Astyanax mexicanus: one gene and its partner. The protein of the gene in region 1 purifies or fractionates together with the protein of each later gene. This does not show direct contact. Links are inferred from orthologs where the notes say so. Each region holds a gene or a part of one and is shown in the gene's direction. Other genes may lie near its edges.

Evidence for each region. The genes of interacting proteins can lie anywhere in the genome.
Region 2: the proteins of map4k5 (region 1) and crkl purify together in Homo sapiens (affinity purification with western blotting; 3 studies listed by BioGRID and IntAct, with this or other methods). This does not show direct contact. The link is inferred for Astyanax mexicanus from reciprocal best matches to the Homo sapiens genes MAP4K5 and CRKL.

The regions. Positions count from the first base shown.
Region 1 is NC_064414.1:39,114,462-39,122,813, forward strand, and holds the start of map4k5 (mitogen-activated protein kinase kinase kinase kinase 5), read left to right. Parts: upstream 1-4,557; 5' UTR 4,558-4,945; intron 4,946-8,352. Other genes in the region: atl1 (atlastin-1), read right to left, coding at 415-665, 3,080-3,113. UniProt on the Homo sapiens protein: May play a role in the response to environmental stress. Appears to act upstream of the JUN N-terminal pathway.
Region 2 is NC_064424.1:2,441,825-2,450,686, forward strand, and holds the start of crkl (crk-like protein), read left to right. Parts: upstream 1-5,055; 5' UTR 5,056-6,527; coding exon 6,528-6,838; intron 6,839-8,598; coding exon 8,599-8,862. Other genes in the region: med15 (mediator of RNA polymerase II transcription subunit 15), read right to left, coding at 485-549. UniProt on the Homo sapiens protein: May mediate the transduction of intracellular signals.

The DNA.
Region 1 (8,352 bases):
TTCGATATGAGTCACTGTACATGAAAAATCTGAGACCCGCCCTCTCTACCGTCTATCTACTGAGTTTAATATCTTGAACTTTTTGTTTAGTTTGGTGATCTTAAAGCATATTGTTCAGTAAATGTATTTTAAAGAATAATAATTTTTATAAATGTATTATGATGCTTAAATGATTTGGGTGGTTAGAAAAAAATCCACTCTTGTTACAAATTAAATCTTTTTTTCTGTACTTCTGTAATACCAATGTGTATGTTACATAGTAATGAGTGTGTAAAACTGAAGTGTTGGTCCACATGTCCACACACAGGGTCTTATGTTTTATGAGTCTGCCCACTGTTAAAAGACCAAAAATTGTTGTACTTCAATACTTAATTCATTAATTAAATGAATCAGAAGAAAAACAGGTGATTTTACCTGGTTGTACATGTAGCGCAGCATGAAATCCATGAGGAAAGACTTGCCCTTCCGGAAAGCTCCAGCTACAGAGACTGCCACCACCTCTCTGTCCCTGAGCTCCTCAGCCAGCAGGATACGACTCAACGCCGCCTCGTCCAGCTCAAACGAGTGGTCATCCTTCACCACCAGCACCTGCACTGGACGGGCCCTGGTGTCTTGCTCCTCGTCCTCTGAGCTCCAGTCATATACATTCTTATCCACAAATGACCCTGTTACACACACACACACACACATATACAGATATACACATATACAGTATTATAAACAAATTATGCACTGATCTGTGCTGTCTTTCCTAATTCAACCCCTAAAAAAATGAAAGGTTAATAAACTAGATAACCTTAAATAGCAGCTCCTCTAAGGTTCTTTATTAGACCACAATTCTAAATAGACAACTCTGACTGATTTAAAGCATCTCCTCTGCTTTATAGTACAGTTACAGCGCTGCCAGCATGGTGCACTCTTAATGCACCTCACTTTCACTTATCTCTGTCATCTCTGACACTTACACTTAAGAGGACCTGTCTCATAACTTGCACAATCATTTCATTGTAATGAATGAATGATTACAGAAGAGGACAACCATTTCAGTAGTTACTGCATAAAAAGTGTTAACATTAATAGCTGATAATAATCCTAGAGCTTAAGGGCTTTAAGAAAGGATAGGCCTCTACATAAATGCTAAATGAAAGCTGCCCTGAGGTAGTGGCTCAATTTCAAGCTTTAGTTTTATTTTCTTCTCACACTGACTGCTCTCACATGAGTCTCTCACACTTGCAGGAGTGGGACGGAACTCATCCATCATTTTACCTGTCTTTCTGTCAAAAACCTTCAGACAACATGTAGCAGAACAAAGACAGCACGGGGGAAGATAACCACAACAGAAACCATGTGGTTTCCTTCATTCACATTAATTCATATCACATCTCCTGCTAAAAAATCTAGTTGAAGACTAGCTTTTGCTAAATAGATTAAATAGGGATGCACAATGATTTCAGAATTATATGTGCCTACATATTTCAAATCAATACTTGCTGAGGTACATTGACCACTGGAAAAGGACCAAGTGATGCTGGCCATGCTAATACAATGGCCCTGCACTGGCCATGAAGCTTGTAGGTGATGCTGATCAAGCTTGGTAATTCAGCTTGATAAGGTTAATCATGCTTGCACCTCAAACATCACACAATGCTGGTCAAGAATTAAAGCTGGTTAACCATCTTAACCAGTTTCTCACTAGGTTTAATAGGCTTTTTAATAGTGAAACACTAGATTCTAGATTTACTCCATATTCAGGAAACCAATGAAATTACTTATTTCCAAGTAGTCAGCAATCAAAACAATTGTGCAAACATCATAAAATCCCTGTGATATATACCATGGCAAATCTGGTGTGATATTACATAATAAGGGATGTGATACAGACTTGCTGCTGATTATTTTATCAAGCGGGGCAGACACACACATTTGGGATGATGACAGAATTAGCATTAACACAGCACACAGACAGACACACACATTCTCTCTCTCCACAGTGAATTATTCACACCCTAATCCATTCTCTTGTTTCTTGTGACCCAGTAGATATCTCTGTTTCTCCAACACACACTGCATCTCTCTCCCTCTCTCTCTCCCCTCTCTCTCTCTCTCTCTCTCTCTCTATCATGCACACTCACGCTAGCCTAGCCTGGACAGTGGTGTAACAGGCCACACACATAGCTACATAGGTTACACACACACACATACACACGCCCATGGACATCTTGTGAGGGAGGCAGCATCTCCACCACACGTCATTATTTGTTGGGTAGCTATCTAACAGCTACAGAGCCAGTGCTGCTGTTGCTGCTGTATGTAGGTCACCGCTGCTGCTCACCAACATTCAGCAGCCATGAACTTCAAGACGCCCAACATCACAAACACACATTCCTGCATACCTGCAGCATTAGAGAGCTGTATTTTTAATACGCCACTGTGCGTGCAGCTATTCTATGACAGGTTAGTTAACTAGCCATCTACAGCTGCATCAGCAACAACAACAATAACATCAACACCGCAGTAAAGCTATTCATGTGTGTATTGGATAAATATGCTAGTTTTAAGATTATGATCTGAGTATATGAGTATATGAGGAGGTTCACTGTGGTCGTATCTTGGTGCAGAGCCTTAATCCCGTTAAGAAACGGAGCCTGTGCCATGTGATTGGCCGATTGGACTCTGGACCAGTCTGGACTGTAGTCTGTTTATGTCTATTTATTATTTTTTATGATCTACACGTTTAATGCTATTTAATTTCTGTTCAGCAAACATGCAGACATGCAGGGCTCAGGGATGAGCTATATTCACATGCAGGCAGGGAATAAACAACCCCCTGTCATTGGGGCTCTATGTGTGCATATGTATTATGTGTGTGTGTGTGTGTGTGTGTGTGTGTGTGTGTGTGTGTGTGTGTGTGCGTGTATATTAGCTATGGAAGCGGACTGTGGCTCAGAAAACACACAGATCACCCTATCACGCCCTGTCTCTGGCTCTCGGCTCGGCCTCACAATAACACAATTTCCTCCAGGCAGCTCCATCCAGGACATCCATCCGTGGGTGGTGGTTTAAACGGACACGCACTCACCCCAGCTGTCCCTGTCCTTTTTGTCCCGGACCATGGCGCACGGCGTGTGGCTCTCAGCCCCGCGGTCTGGCGGCGTAGCGTTAGCAGCGCTCCGCTTCACTCAGCGATCATGAAGCCTGCAGGCCTGAATGGCAGCTCCGCGGATGATGCTCGGAGCGAGTCTGCTGTCTGTGGAGAAGGAGAACGTCTCATTCTCTTCCGAGAAGAAAATGTTAAGAGCTGGTTCAGCCGCTAGAGGGCAGAACAGCATAATAATATCATGGTAATATTGAGCTATATCTCTGTGGGTATATCTAAAACGCAGGACAAGCTGACTTGATGCCTTGCTGCCCTCACTACCTTTTTATTTTTTATTAGTGAGTATATTTACACATTGAAAAAATGATCAATGTAATGCAGTTAGCTTTAGGTATTAAACATTTGTTTACCTATTATAAAGAAAAAAAATAATTATTAAATGAACAGTTTACAGTACGTAATTGTTCTGCAACACAATAGCTGCATTCAGAATAGCTCCCTATTACAGAAAAAAAAGTGCACTAAATGGTGTGCTTTAGGGCTGTTTGAAATCTCAATAGTACATTGTATTCCCTATATATAATATAATGGGATAGTAACTCAAAATAACGAGATGTTTCTTTCTCTGCTGATGTTTTTTATTTAGGTGGCAGGAATGGGATTCCATAAGTAACCGTAGTGTTTTGTTATTTTTATTTTTTACTCATTTCCTGCATTGAAATGAATCTCACAGACCGAACAGCAAACCCTAGAGACATGCAATTTATGGCGTTGACCCTTTACCTACTCAGATGCAAGACAATAAACAAGACAATCAACAAATGTGTTTGCCTTAGATTTCATAAGCAATTTATTTTTTTCATTGTATTATCTTCCTTGTTTCTGGTCATTTTTCATATTCTTTGGATCATGTTTGTTATATCCCAAAAAGGTCAATACATTTACAATTAAGATTTCTTGTACTTTTGCATAGTATTTAAAATGACCAGGCTTTTCCATTATTGTAAAGGAATTCAAAAGACACTAAAATAATTTAAAAAACGAACTTTTTCGTTGTTTTGTTTGTTCAAAGACATATTAATAATAATTGGTAAGGCCTAGATACAAACAAACTTTAAGGCCTAGAGAAACAAAATATATTATTATTATTATTGTGGTTGTAAAACGCCTGATTTACCAATATTTGGCTTACATTTTCAATTTGTGTAAAGAATGTGCTTGTTGATAGTGGCATCAATTTGTAATCATTGTGTATCTATAAGTAAATATATATAAATAAGACAAAATAAACTTTATAAACTTTTTGTAACAGTAAATTCTCACTGTTTCAGGATAATGTACATCTGCTGTGTGGTATGAGGGGGACGTGCTGTTCAGCAATAACAACAAATATCAGCCACCAAATGGAGCGCGATGCATTGCCTGCGTTGCTTGTCTTAAGCGATAAAAGTTTATACATTGATTACGACTATTTCATGGCCTTTATTTGAGAACTTTAAGAACGAGTAGCATTAAATATCGTATTATTTCTATTAGAGGAGTGAGTGTTTAATGATAGTCTGCGCTGCTGGTGTGGAGTGAGTTGGAGGAAGTGAGGCAAAGCAGAGCGCGGCTGCTGGGAGTGTGGCAGCTGGGCGGGGAGAGAGAGCTCCGGCTGGACAGTCAGACTGTCTGCTGTTGCTGATCCTACACACACGGAGCCGATCAGGTGGAAGAGGCAGAAGTTAGAAAGTGGAGAAAGCGGCCGAGTTGGGATGTTTATTTCGACACAGAATGGACGTCAAAACTTGAGGAACACGTTGCTTGCGCTCGTCATTGATGCGGATATGGAGTATTCCCGTGGAAATTGTATGTTTTTGAAGAAAATACAACTTTTGTTGTCGAATCTTGCTTGCTAACGTTAGCTTAGCTACTTTAGCTAACCTGCGTAACGCAGTTTTACCAGTGGCGTTAGCTTATTTGGCTAGCTAGCTAGCTACGTGTCTGAGAGAGAGAGAGAGCGAAAGAGCGATAGGGTTAGCTAGCATTAGCTAATGACGCCTGTTTTAAAGTTCTAAAAATAAATCAGTTAGCTAACTTAGCTAACTATCTAGCGTCACCAGTGTCAGTTGAACAGTTCCAGACAACACAGCATTAGCTAACCTAGCTAACCCAACAGTTAGCTTAGCCAGTTTGCTGGTTAGCAAACTAACTTATATTGGCCAAGTTTTAACTTTATACTTAACCTTTACGTTGCTAGGGAAAGTGAGGTGCGTATTTAACAGCAGGTCTGCCTTTTAATCACTATTAATCCAACGGTTGTTTAAGAAAATGAGTTCACGTTAACGAGTTTGTAGCTCTGCAGCATGTTGTATTACTAAATATAGGGTCTGCCATCACGTCGTGACAAGGTGCTCTCAGATTAGAGCTTTAACTCGCTAGCTAGCTTTAGCTAACTTAGCCGGCTAGCTATCAACGCCCAGAGACTAGGTTATAGGATGGGTAACGCTTGTTTAGGAAGCTAATGTGGGTAAGTTAACGTTATCTTAGCGTTATCTTAACTAGGTAACTTGCTACCTGTAGCCAGTTGTCTTTTATTTAATGCTGCTTAAGTTGCTCAAGTTGTGCTAAATAACTTTACTAATATGTCAGTGATGCATAGCCACGTAGGTAAATAGTCAGGTTAGCTAGTTAACCTAGTTAACGTTAGTTAGTTAGACTATGTAAAAAAAATTAGGCTCCGTTTAACGCGCTAGCTAAAATTTCGTTAGATTTGTAATGTTGGGGGTAAACTATTTTCTGGAACCAAAGATACATGAAACGCTGTGCCAGCAACTATTAACCTAAGTTTTTTTATTAACCTTTTTAAATCTAGAAATAATGCAAAGAAAACAAGTTCATATTCATAAAGTTTTAAGAGTTTATAAATCAATATTTGGTGAAATAACCCTGGTATTTAATCACAGTTTTCATGCACCTTGGCATGTTTTCCTCCACCAGCCTTACTGCTTTTGGATAACTTTAAGCCACTCCTTGTGCAAAAATGCATGTTTTGATGTTTTGTAATCATCCACCTTCGTCTTTATTATATTTCAGAGATTTTCAATTTGGTAAATTCAAAGAAACAGATCATTTTTAATTGGTCTCTTATTTTTTTTCCCACAGTGATGTTGCCTTGAGGAAACAAGCCAGTTTCTAGTGCAGTTGTTGGGGGATGTTTTTATGACTGATAGATTAACAGGGACTTTTATTAAAATTTTATTATTATAATATTTTCATAAGTAAAAGGATATGTTAGTTTAAATACATGTAAAGGATGTATACTTGTCCATGAAAGTGTTTGTTTTTCCTGTTTGTTGCCTTAGGGCATCATTATGCAGTTAAACCTACTTTGTTATGACAAATATGTTAAAACTATTTGTTTATTGATTTGTATATATTTTCTTATGATAAATGTTCAGTTGTATGACCAGCAATTAATATGAAGCTTCTAAAATGTGGGCTGAAATATAATAAAAAAATAAAATTCACACTATAGTGGATTAAGGTAGCACCAAAGAACCTGGTTAACCAGCTAACTAAATAGCTAGCTAGATTTGTTAATTTATCTTAGATGACCACTAATCATATGATCTTGAAAGCAAGACGCCAGCTTAATTTGGAAACTTTTTTCCTTCCAGACAGCCTGAACCAAGTAACCAAGGCAGAGTTTAGGAATGTGTTTTTGGGAAGAATCCGTCCCTTGCCTGAACACCCAGAAAATCCAAGATAGCTAGATTGTTAACAACAAAAAAGATTATCTTTACATGTTAGCTTACCTACATACTTGCAGTGCTGGAATGCAAATCACATGCATACGTAGAGCTGTCCTTTAAATAGTGTATTATTTGCCTCCAGTCTGTTCCAACCATTTAACAATTTAAACACTTAATGATGTGGGTGAAGATTCCATATAACCATGACCTGATTTCTAGAACAAAATGTTAATAATAGTTATTAAATTGTTATTGTGTCATTTATGTTGCATCATGTTTTTAACCATAAAATATTTACAGTTATGTGCCAGCAATAAGAATAAACAGGAATGGGCTGCTCTCTGAATTTATCTGATTACATTTTAAAGTGGTAGTAAAATTCAGAAATGGGTCTGGGCTCTTATGGGTCAAAAGTTTTTGTTACTGTCCACCACTAGTTACAAGGTGCTAGTTAGCATTTTTATTAGAATACACGGCTATGATAGGAGTGTGCGATATTGGGAAAAAAATAGATACCGATATCTTCTATAACTTTGCCCATACCGATGTTAAACGATATTTTGCATTACTTATAAATGTTTGTAAAAGCCTTACATTGTACTAGCTTTAACTAAAATTATATTAAAATAATTATTTACACATTATATTATTGTAAACTAGGCCTGGACAATACTTCGATATCGGTATTTATCGCGATAAGAAATGTTTCAATAACGGTGATATCATTTTTGTGGTATATCGATATGTATTATTTACAGATCTGTCACGGACATGCGATTTACTGGCGTCAGCTCGCCGCACAGCTGAACACAATCAGCTTCCGTAGCTGGACTATCTCTGTGCGTGATGACGTAATCACATAGGCACGTAGCCAGATAGGCTAGGCTAGGCTAGATTTGGCTAGGCTAGGCTCGGGTCCGCTACGCATCTAAAATGCCTCGCGCTGGAGCCAAACGGAGCCGGCACGAGCGGATCCAAGGTTAAGGTAGGCTCGGTTTGCATCTGAAATGTTCCGCGCTCCGCTCGGTCCGCCTACGGGTCCGCTCGGTCCGCCTACGGGTCCGCTCGGTCCGCCTACGGGTTCGCTCGGTCCGCCTACGGGTCCGCTCGGTCCGCCTCTGGTTCGCTCGGTCCGCCTCTGGTTCGCTCGGTCCGCCCACGGGTCCGCTCGGTCAGCGGTCAGTTGCGGATCCTGTTTGTCAGCCGCGGGTCCTCTTGGCTCCCAGCGCGGGACATTTTTGATGCAAAATGAATGCCCCTGCCGCTTCCACAAGTGATTAATTGAAGGAGGGAGGTCTAATTCAGTGGTGAGGATTTGGTTCGACTCTCGGAAGGTCTGCTAAACTTCAGTTTGCTGCAAATTGTGCCGGAGAGTGGAGCCGACCAGCAGCGGTAACGTTAAAACATCTAATCTGTTCCACCACCTCAATCAGTTCCACTACATACAATATTTTCCTTATACTGGCTGAAGCACTTTTATAGCTTATGTTGTAAGTTATTTAAAGTTTATGAATCCTTTAG
Region 2 (8,862 bases), on another chromosome or scaffold:
ATAAATCAACAATGTTAATTTTACTCAAACACATAATTTCCTATAAATAGCAAAATCAGAGAAACTGATTCAGAAACTTAAGTACTCTCTTACCAGAGCATGTCCACCGCATTAACTAATTAGTTAACTACGTGTTATTAATACAGTATAACATTATATACAGGCTTCGTGTGTTTTTTAGAGTAAACGTTCAGCTAATTAGGTTATCTAAACTAAGCTAAGCTAACTTCGCTAACCAGTAAGGTATAGCTAACTAGTTAACTTAGCTAATATAACGTTAAGCTAAGCTAGGTAGCTAAAATGCGCCCAATTCGTCCCATAAATGTATTAGCTTAGCATTAGCTAGCGGCGGTATTTAGCTTAGCTACGCTAGGTTAGCTACCCAGTATAATCAGTGACTGAGCTAGCTCAGTTCAGCTAAGGCACTGACTCGGCTGGTAATGATAGTTAATTATTACTACTAATAAATAATAATATTACTCACATCTGCGCCACTACTTTCTGCCGGAATCCCGGACTCCTCCAGTCATTATCCGGGGGAAGATCCATAGCTTCCAGAAGCGTTAGCTAGCTGCTGTTACACCGAGCGGAGTGAATGAACTGCTGATCCAAATCCGCTTCTACACCGTTAGCACGCTAGCTAACCCGGCTAACTCACCCCCCTCCACCCCCGGTGTTGTGCCGAATTCTGGCTCCCCGCCAAAACCCGAGTCTTCCTGCTGCATTATTACCTCCACCTACTGAGCTGGAGTGTGAAGCAAGACTAAGGAATAGTGAACTGCAGGAAAAACACCAAAAAAGAAAATAAAGTAAACTAAAAAGAAAGATAATACAGATAATAAACTTTAAATTGGCTTGAAATAGCTAGCTAATAACGTTTAAAGAAAGTTAACTATAATGTAAGTCTAAAAAATAAAGGACTTTGAATAAGTGTTACCTTAAATTTGCACATTTTAATTAAAAATAGTATATATAGAGTTTAAAACACTCGCCTTAATAGTGGAAAGCAGATGCATAAACCTTTGCATAAAAGAGCAAAAAAAAAAGAAAAAGTGTACAAAAAAGAAAGAGAGAGAGAAAGGGAGAAAAAAAGATAGAGATTCTAGACACAAAGAATTAGAAAAAAGACACTTAAAACAAAATATGTATTTAAATGTATTACGTAGTAATATGAATATGAATGTGAATATTAATATTAATATAGTCGATATATGTCTGTTTTCAACAAAAGCATGTTCTGGCATTTGCCAGTGATTTCTGTAAATGAATTATAACTAATACTTCTGACCACACAGTGGCGCCTAATACCAACTCCTGCTGGAAGGCATAGCAAGGCAAATAATGAAAAAATAAATAATGTGGAGTTTAAGTTTATTCTCGAAATATTACAACTTTATTCTAAAAATATTACGACCTTATTCTTAAAATATTATGACTTTAAACTTGTATTATTACAACTTTGTTATCAAAATATTACGAGTTTATTCTCTAAAATATTGTATTTTACCTATGTGCAACCACTCGACAAACTGTAATAGTGTAAATTTAATAGCTTTGTTTCAGTATCTGTATTTCTTATTTTTAGAAGTGTTTGGGGTAAACGGGATTCTATAAATATTATGGCAATGTTCTTTAAATATCACATTTTTTCCCCCGAAATATAAAAAATATATTGTTATGATATAACATCTTATAATATTATGATACTACAACTTTATTCTCAAAATATTATGACTTTTATTTTATCATATTAAAATTTTTATATCATAACACTTCGATTTTATTTACAAAATATTCCAAGTTCATTCTTGTATTATTAGGACTTTATTTAGCTTATTTAGACTTTAATATTTAGATTTTAATTATGTAATATTACAACTTTATTCTCGAAATATTATGACTTTAGTTTCTAAATATTACAACTTTAAACTTGTAATATTGTGACTTTATGCTCTAAATATTGCCGGTTTTATCTCAAACAGATCTGTGTTTATTTTTTTAAAAGTGGCCCTAAAACACCTTTGTAGGCAGGTGAAGCAGGTGAAGAACCAAATACAATTCCTGCTGTACCGCTGTGTTCACCTGTCTGCAGCTCACAGCTGGAAGCAGCGCGAAAAAACGCGGGAAATTCGAATATTTTGTCAGTTGGTGGAAGTTTCTGACAGGATTTGAGGTAATGCTAAGCTAAGCTATCTTTAAACTAGAACCATAAAATCTATTTATTCAGGACATTTTACTATACATGTGTAAATAACATGTCAAAATTGCTTTTAGACATTATTCCAAACAACTAATTCAATGTTGTTACTCAGTTTATCAATTAACATTAACCTAGTTAAGTTAGCCAACATTTCTGTTAGCTTGTGGCTAACTGATACTGTGGTAACCAAGCTAGCTCTATTCCTAGTTAACCTACCTAGCCATCACAGTTGTTTTTTAAACACATTTCTCTGTAATATTTATGTGTATGCACCTGTAATGGAAATATTACGTTTATTTTTACTATTAAGATAATTGTGGCTGATATAACCTAGGTTTTTATTCACCAGTTTTCTGTTCAGATTTTCCATTCCACCTTAAATGGTGCATTTGAACACTGTAAAAGGTGCATGTAAGCAAAACCCTGTGCAGTATTATGTTTATTATTTTTAGCATTGTGTAAAAACAAAATAAGTAATAGTGATTGCATTGTCTGCTTAGTATGTAACATTGTTACATTTGGTCACAGGTTTACACCCTCATTTAAAATAAACTGTCTAAATAAAACAAAATATCTTTTGAAACTAGTAAAAATATAAAAAAAATAAAAATAAAAATGAACTTAAATAAAATAATTTTAAAGTAGTTTAGACATTTTGTCTCAGTCCAAAAAATGTAGACTTGTTTTAAAAAATAATGGCCGATACTGATATAACTTAATATTTTAGCTGTTATAATTTCAATGGCTCTGTTTGCTATGAAAAAGTCTTAAAAAATCTTAAAATTGTTTTCCCCATAACTGCAGATACAGGAAAAATCATGTAAGTTATAAACATAGGAAAAGAGAGGGTGCAAGTATTGTCATTCACATCACATGTGGTATATGAGGTAGAATTAAATTGTGTTCTCACTGTCCAGTTACACCCAAGTACAATTGTTGAAATAAGATAAAATAAAATAGAATGCAATAACATAATAATAAATCAGATATTATTAGATTGTAAGATTAATACACTTACAACAGTGTAAGGTATATGATTTTTACCCAAAATAATAACCAGAGCCTTCTTAAAAAATGATAAGTTTCTTTGATTTAACTTGTTAAAAACCTCTGGAATATACTCAAAACGGAAGATGGATGATCATCAAAAAAAATCAGAAGCCATCAAACCAAGCTAAAACCAGGGTTATTCCACCAAATATTGATTTATGAACTCTTAAAACTTCATGAATATTAACTTGTTAGGGCTGAAAGCTCTGCATCTTTTTGTTTTTTTCAGCCATTTCTCATTTTTTGCAAATAACTGCTCTAAATGACAATGTTTTTATTTGTAAAAAAAAAAAAAAACTGTTGTCCGTAGTAACTTATATTGAATGAAACAATTTTAATTTTACTCAAACATATAATTATAAATAGCAAAATCAGAGATCAGCACTGGCTTTGCTAATGTTCTCTCCATCATCGTCACCACAGCTCCTGAGTAAGTCGATTTGTTTCCATCTCTGAAAATTGCAGCTTCTGTAAAAACTGTAGTGAGACAATTGATCATTTATTTTTTTATTGTGTTTATACCTACTCTTTTTGGGTAGATATATTTTGGAATTTAGGGAAGAAAATTGGTAAAGACATTCCCCTTGAAAGTAACTATATTTTTTATATTTTTAATAACCCTCTATTTCATTGCAATGAATCATTTATTATCAACCTTATTATAATATTAGCAAAATATTACATACATAAAGCTAAAAACAAAAAAAAAACTGCCATCTTATATATCTTTTATAAACTCTGATTTTAAAATATATTTGCAAACAATTAAGTCAATGGGCCCCTCATTGAATAAAAAAATAGGTAGATCCTTAAATGTTTTAAAGCTTTACAATTTAATTTAAATAATAATAAATATTAAATAAATAATAAGAAAAGATACTTTGAGAAATTCTTGTGGCTGTTCATTATTTTTGCAGTCTTTTCAAAAGATGAGATGACTATGGAATGTCTTCTTTTTTAAGATTATTATTGCAATTCCTCTGTTTTTTTTCTTTTTCTTTTTTCTTTCTTCCTTTTGTTATATATAACAGTATTTTAGTCAGTCATGCTTCAATAACTTTGACTCTATAACATGAACACTGTGAGGACTAAAGTAGGTGAAGAAATAAGTATATAATTCCCAAACTAATTATAATAAATGATTAATTATTAAAATTTAGCTGTCTTTAAAAAAAAGTGTATAACTGCCTTTTTATGCTGTTCTGTTATCATTGTGTCAGTGGCATTTAATAGTCTTAAAATTACAAAAAAAATATTGTGTATCACAATAATTTCTGGGACGATATATCGTCCACAAACAAATCTTATCGTGACAGGCCTAGCTAATAGTTTGCCTCAGTAGCTAGCTAAATTTCCCGTTGCACCTTAAATGGTGCAACAGACAGCAGAGGCTGAATAATTTAAAATTTAAGGTGGAATAAAAAAAAATGGTAATGTCTGCACAATCCCCCCCATTTTCTTTTAGTATTGAGATTTAGATTTATTTACTACATTACATTCGTTTTTTCTTACGTTATTTTGTTGATTTTGTTAGCTTAATATTATGTTACACGAAACATTTAAAAAAATATATTATTATTTTTCTTTTTTCTTTCTTTCGTTATTTAACGTTACCTATCTTTGACATTGCTGATATGTTGCTGTTACTTCTTCTTGTTTCCTGTTTCAATATATCACTGTACCTATTTCTATAACTAATAAAAAAATATAAAAATTAAATAAATAAATAAAGGGAGGAGTGGGGGAGTGTCGTGCCTCACAGGCACATCATTTTCTCGGTTTGAAGCGGCGGCAGAGAGGCGAGAGCAGACCCGCCCTCCAGACGCCATTTCTCCATTTCTCCACCTCACACTATCTGAGCTGACGAGAGGGAGAGGGAGAGGGCTGAAGCTGCCTGATCCTCACAGGGGAACTGAATTTAACGGGACAGAGTGGGTTTTACACCGCTTTTTCGGGTGTCAGAGACGCGCCCGAGCGGCGAGGACTACTTTCACGCTTGAGAACTTTTGCTATTTTGCGGAATCTCTTTTTAAAGTGGAGGATTTGCTCACATTTGTGTGAGAGTTTTAGTGTGAAGAAGACGTGTTGCAGGCCGCCATCTTTGTTACTGCTAGCTAACCTAACGCTAGCGCTAGCGGCACTGTTACTCTGTTACTGAAGTCGGTTAGCTTGCGCTAGCTGCTGGAGTATAGGCGTGGACAAACGCTGTTTTGGGTGTTTTTAGCGTGTGAAATACTGCTGAGGACTCGTTAATGGACGCTTTAACGTATGTTCTGTGTTTTGAAGCAGCTATCGTGATGTAGAGAGCGGTGTTTTTAGCGAGATAATAAATCTTAAGTTTAACTATGGCGAGCTTTTCTCTATCGTGAGCTGACAGTGCTGAGACGGCTAGCTAATTAGCTGCTAGCTTGCTATTATTGTCTCATGAACTAAACTATAAGTTAGTTACGTGATTAGCTGGTTAATCATTGTTTAATTGACGTTTTAATAAACTAAAATAGCTTAGCTAGTTAATGCTGTTTCAGGAAATATAATAATCTAGCTGGCTTATATATTGTTTTATAACCAACTAAAAGAACTACAGTTAATTAGGTTAGCTTGCTAATATTCGTTTCATGAACCAAACTAGATGAGCTAAGTTAGTTTTAACTAGGGTTAAGTTAACTGTCGGTGGCTGGCCAGTATAGTTAAGTTATTTCTTAAACTAAACTAGCTAGATAATATTGTTTTAGAAATTAATCTGACTGAATAATATTGTTTATTATTTAAACTTGCTGGCTGTCTGCTAGCTGTGTAGCTAACTAGGTATTTGGCGGAAGAGGGAAGGGAAAAAGGGGAACTTTAATCTATATTCTCGGTATTCTCTTGATTTGGTGTCACTTAAACTGTCTTTTTTGACCGATCATTTTTTGTAATAATCTAAATGTAATATATATATATCTACCTATTTTAAAGCAGTGCTTATTCTTTGCAAAGCCAGAACACACAGCGCAATTCATGGTAAAGCAACTAATTAACTACTAAGTTGGGTTGTGTCGGTTGCTTGCACTCCTGTCTTGTGAAACGGCAGGTTGTAGTTCATTTTTGTTTTAGCTAAAGTTCAGCTCTTTATTTATAACTAAAGCACGTTTAAAAAGTGTCAAAGTGCTGTAACGTTACAATAAGTCAGAATTAAGGCTAACACTCGTCTTTCTAATTTATTCTATAGCTAACATTTATACATATTGTATTGTTAAGTCTAACCTAACTAACGTTTGCTATTTATTTAAGATCAGACATGTCGTCGGCACGGTTCGACTCCTCGGACCGAAACTGTTGGTATTTCGGCTCGCTTTCGAGGCAGGAGACGCAGAGTAGGTTACAGGGACAAAGACACGGTATGTTTTTAGTTCGAGACTCGTCCACCTGTCCAGGTGATTACGTGCTGTCGGTGTCCGAAAACTCCAAAGTCTCCCACTATATCATCAACTCTTTGCCAAGCAAGAGGTTCAAGATAGGCGACCAGGAATTTGAGCATCTGCCCGCGCTTTTGGAGTTCTACAAAATACATTACCTGGACACGACTACCTTGATAGAGCCTGCACCAAGGTAAGCACTCTACTTGAGGTTGTATTATTAATTATATAGAATTGACTGAAATAAAGAAATATTTTGAGATATCAATTTGGGTAAAGATGATTATCCAACGTAGCTAAGTATTCTTGGTTTCAGACTTCAGCTACAAGGGTGAACATTTCGACCTTCTTTTCCACCTTGTTGGAACACGTTTGCACTTGTCAGTAGGTTCTTCCATATGTAGGTTAGCTACCTCTGAATTAGTGCTGTGTTCATGTACGAACAAAACCTTTGCCATTTACAACCCTACCTCAACTCATTCATTGGAAGATGCAGCTCTGAGTGATGGTTGTGATGGTTTCCTGTGGTTTAAATGTAGAAATTGTACAATATGGAGATATTTTATCGTATTTGAATCAAGCCAAATATATTTAATAAGTATCCAGGAGTTCATCAGTGCTTAAAAAACAACCAAAATCTACATATCATTACAAATTCTTGTTAAATTAGATGATGTGCAACATAACTATATTGTGAGGGGATTTTTGTCCCTATACAGCCTTATATACATACAACTGAAACCAGTTAATTTTTTTCGATTTGTGTTTATCCATTAAAGCACACATAATGTTTACTAATATTGTAGTCACATATCATACACCAGGAACCTCAGGGATGTATGTATAAAATTTTGTAGAATTAAATTTGCTATATTAATGTTATAGTACGTTGTTAAAATATATATGTGTATTGTGTATAATATACAATCACATATATTGGCTAAGGTACCATATTTACACGTTCTGACAGTATAAAGTATTCCTGCCACAATAATAATTCTCAACATTATTGACTAATCATGCACAATGTATTGGCATAAGTTGACTAAGAGTAATTTTTACTCATTATTTTCACGATATTACCCATTGTGTTCAATTGAATGTTTGTGTGTATATATTTAAGAATGATGACATACATCAAAGTATTAATACTAAAAATATTGTTCTTTAAGAGAGTAATTGTGTTATTTTTTATGTTGCTGTATCATCTACTATATAAGTGGCACAAAGTTGTCTTAGAATGACTGATTTAAGTTATTGTGTATTCAGGGACAGTCTGTTGTCAGAAACATTTGTGAAATGCCTAGTATGGGATCTCATTTTGTTTTTGGTGTGTTTTCTGCCATTTCTTTTATTAAAGTTGTTGCATTTTAATACCTGCTATTCCTATGTGATTAGTTCATTTAGTATGTGTATAGACTAGTTGCAACTAGCTACAAGGGGTGGGAAGTAAATAGTATTAAAGTATTGTTTCACTACATTGTTCCACTACATTTAGCGACATTTTCACAAAGTATCCAAAATATGTTTTCATGTTGTTAAACTTGTTAGACTTTCACTTTTTATAAAGGAATATAGTGCCTACTATATGCTTAAAAAGTGTGTTGTGTATCAGGATAACAGTATGTCAATATGATAAAATATTGTAATATTGGAATTTGGCTAATGCTCTTTACCCAGACCGACTTGCATTTATATCAAGGTTGTCAAATGTAGTGTTAGGAGTCTTGGCCAAGGACTCCAAGATCTTACCACAGAGGCCCTACCACAGAGGTCTTGCCTCACTAATCCATCCACTTACTAACCACAACACATAGTTAACTTGTTAAAAGTAGATACAATGATGATACTGAAAGGCATCATGAATGTGTTGTGTGCCGTGGTTAAATGATTGTACAGCTCTGTAAACTTGGTCCCAGTCTCTGTTTGTGAGCATCTTTTCTGTTTCAACAGGTACCCCAACACAGCTCTAACCACTGGTCCTATTCAGACAATCGGTGGACCTGGTGATGAGAATTTGGAGTATGTGCGGACTCTTTACGACTTCACTGGCAGCGATGCAGAGGACCTTCCTTTCAAGAAGGGAGAGATCCTGATTATCTTAGACAAGCCTGAGGAGCAGTGGTGGAGCGCCAAGAGCAAGGATGGACGTGTTGGTATGATCCCCGTACCCTATGTGGAAAAGCTTGTCAGGCCATCGCCACATCCCGGGCAGCC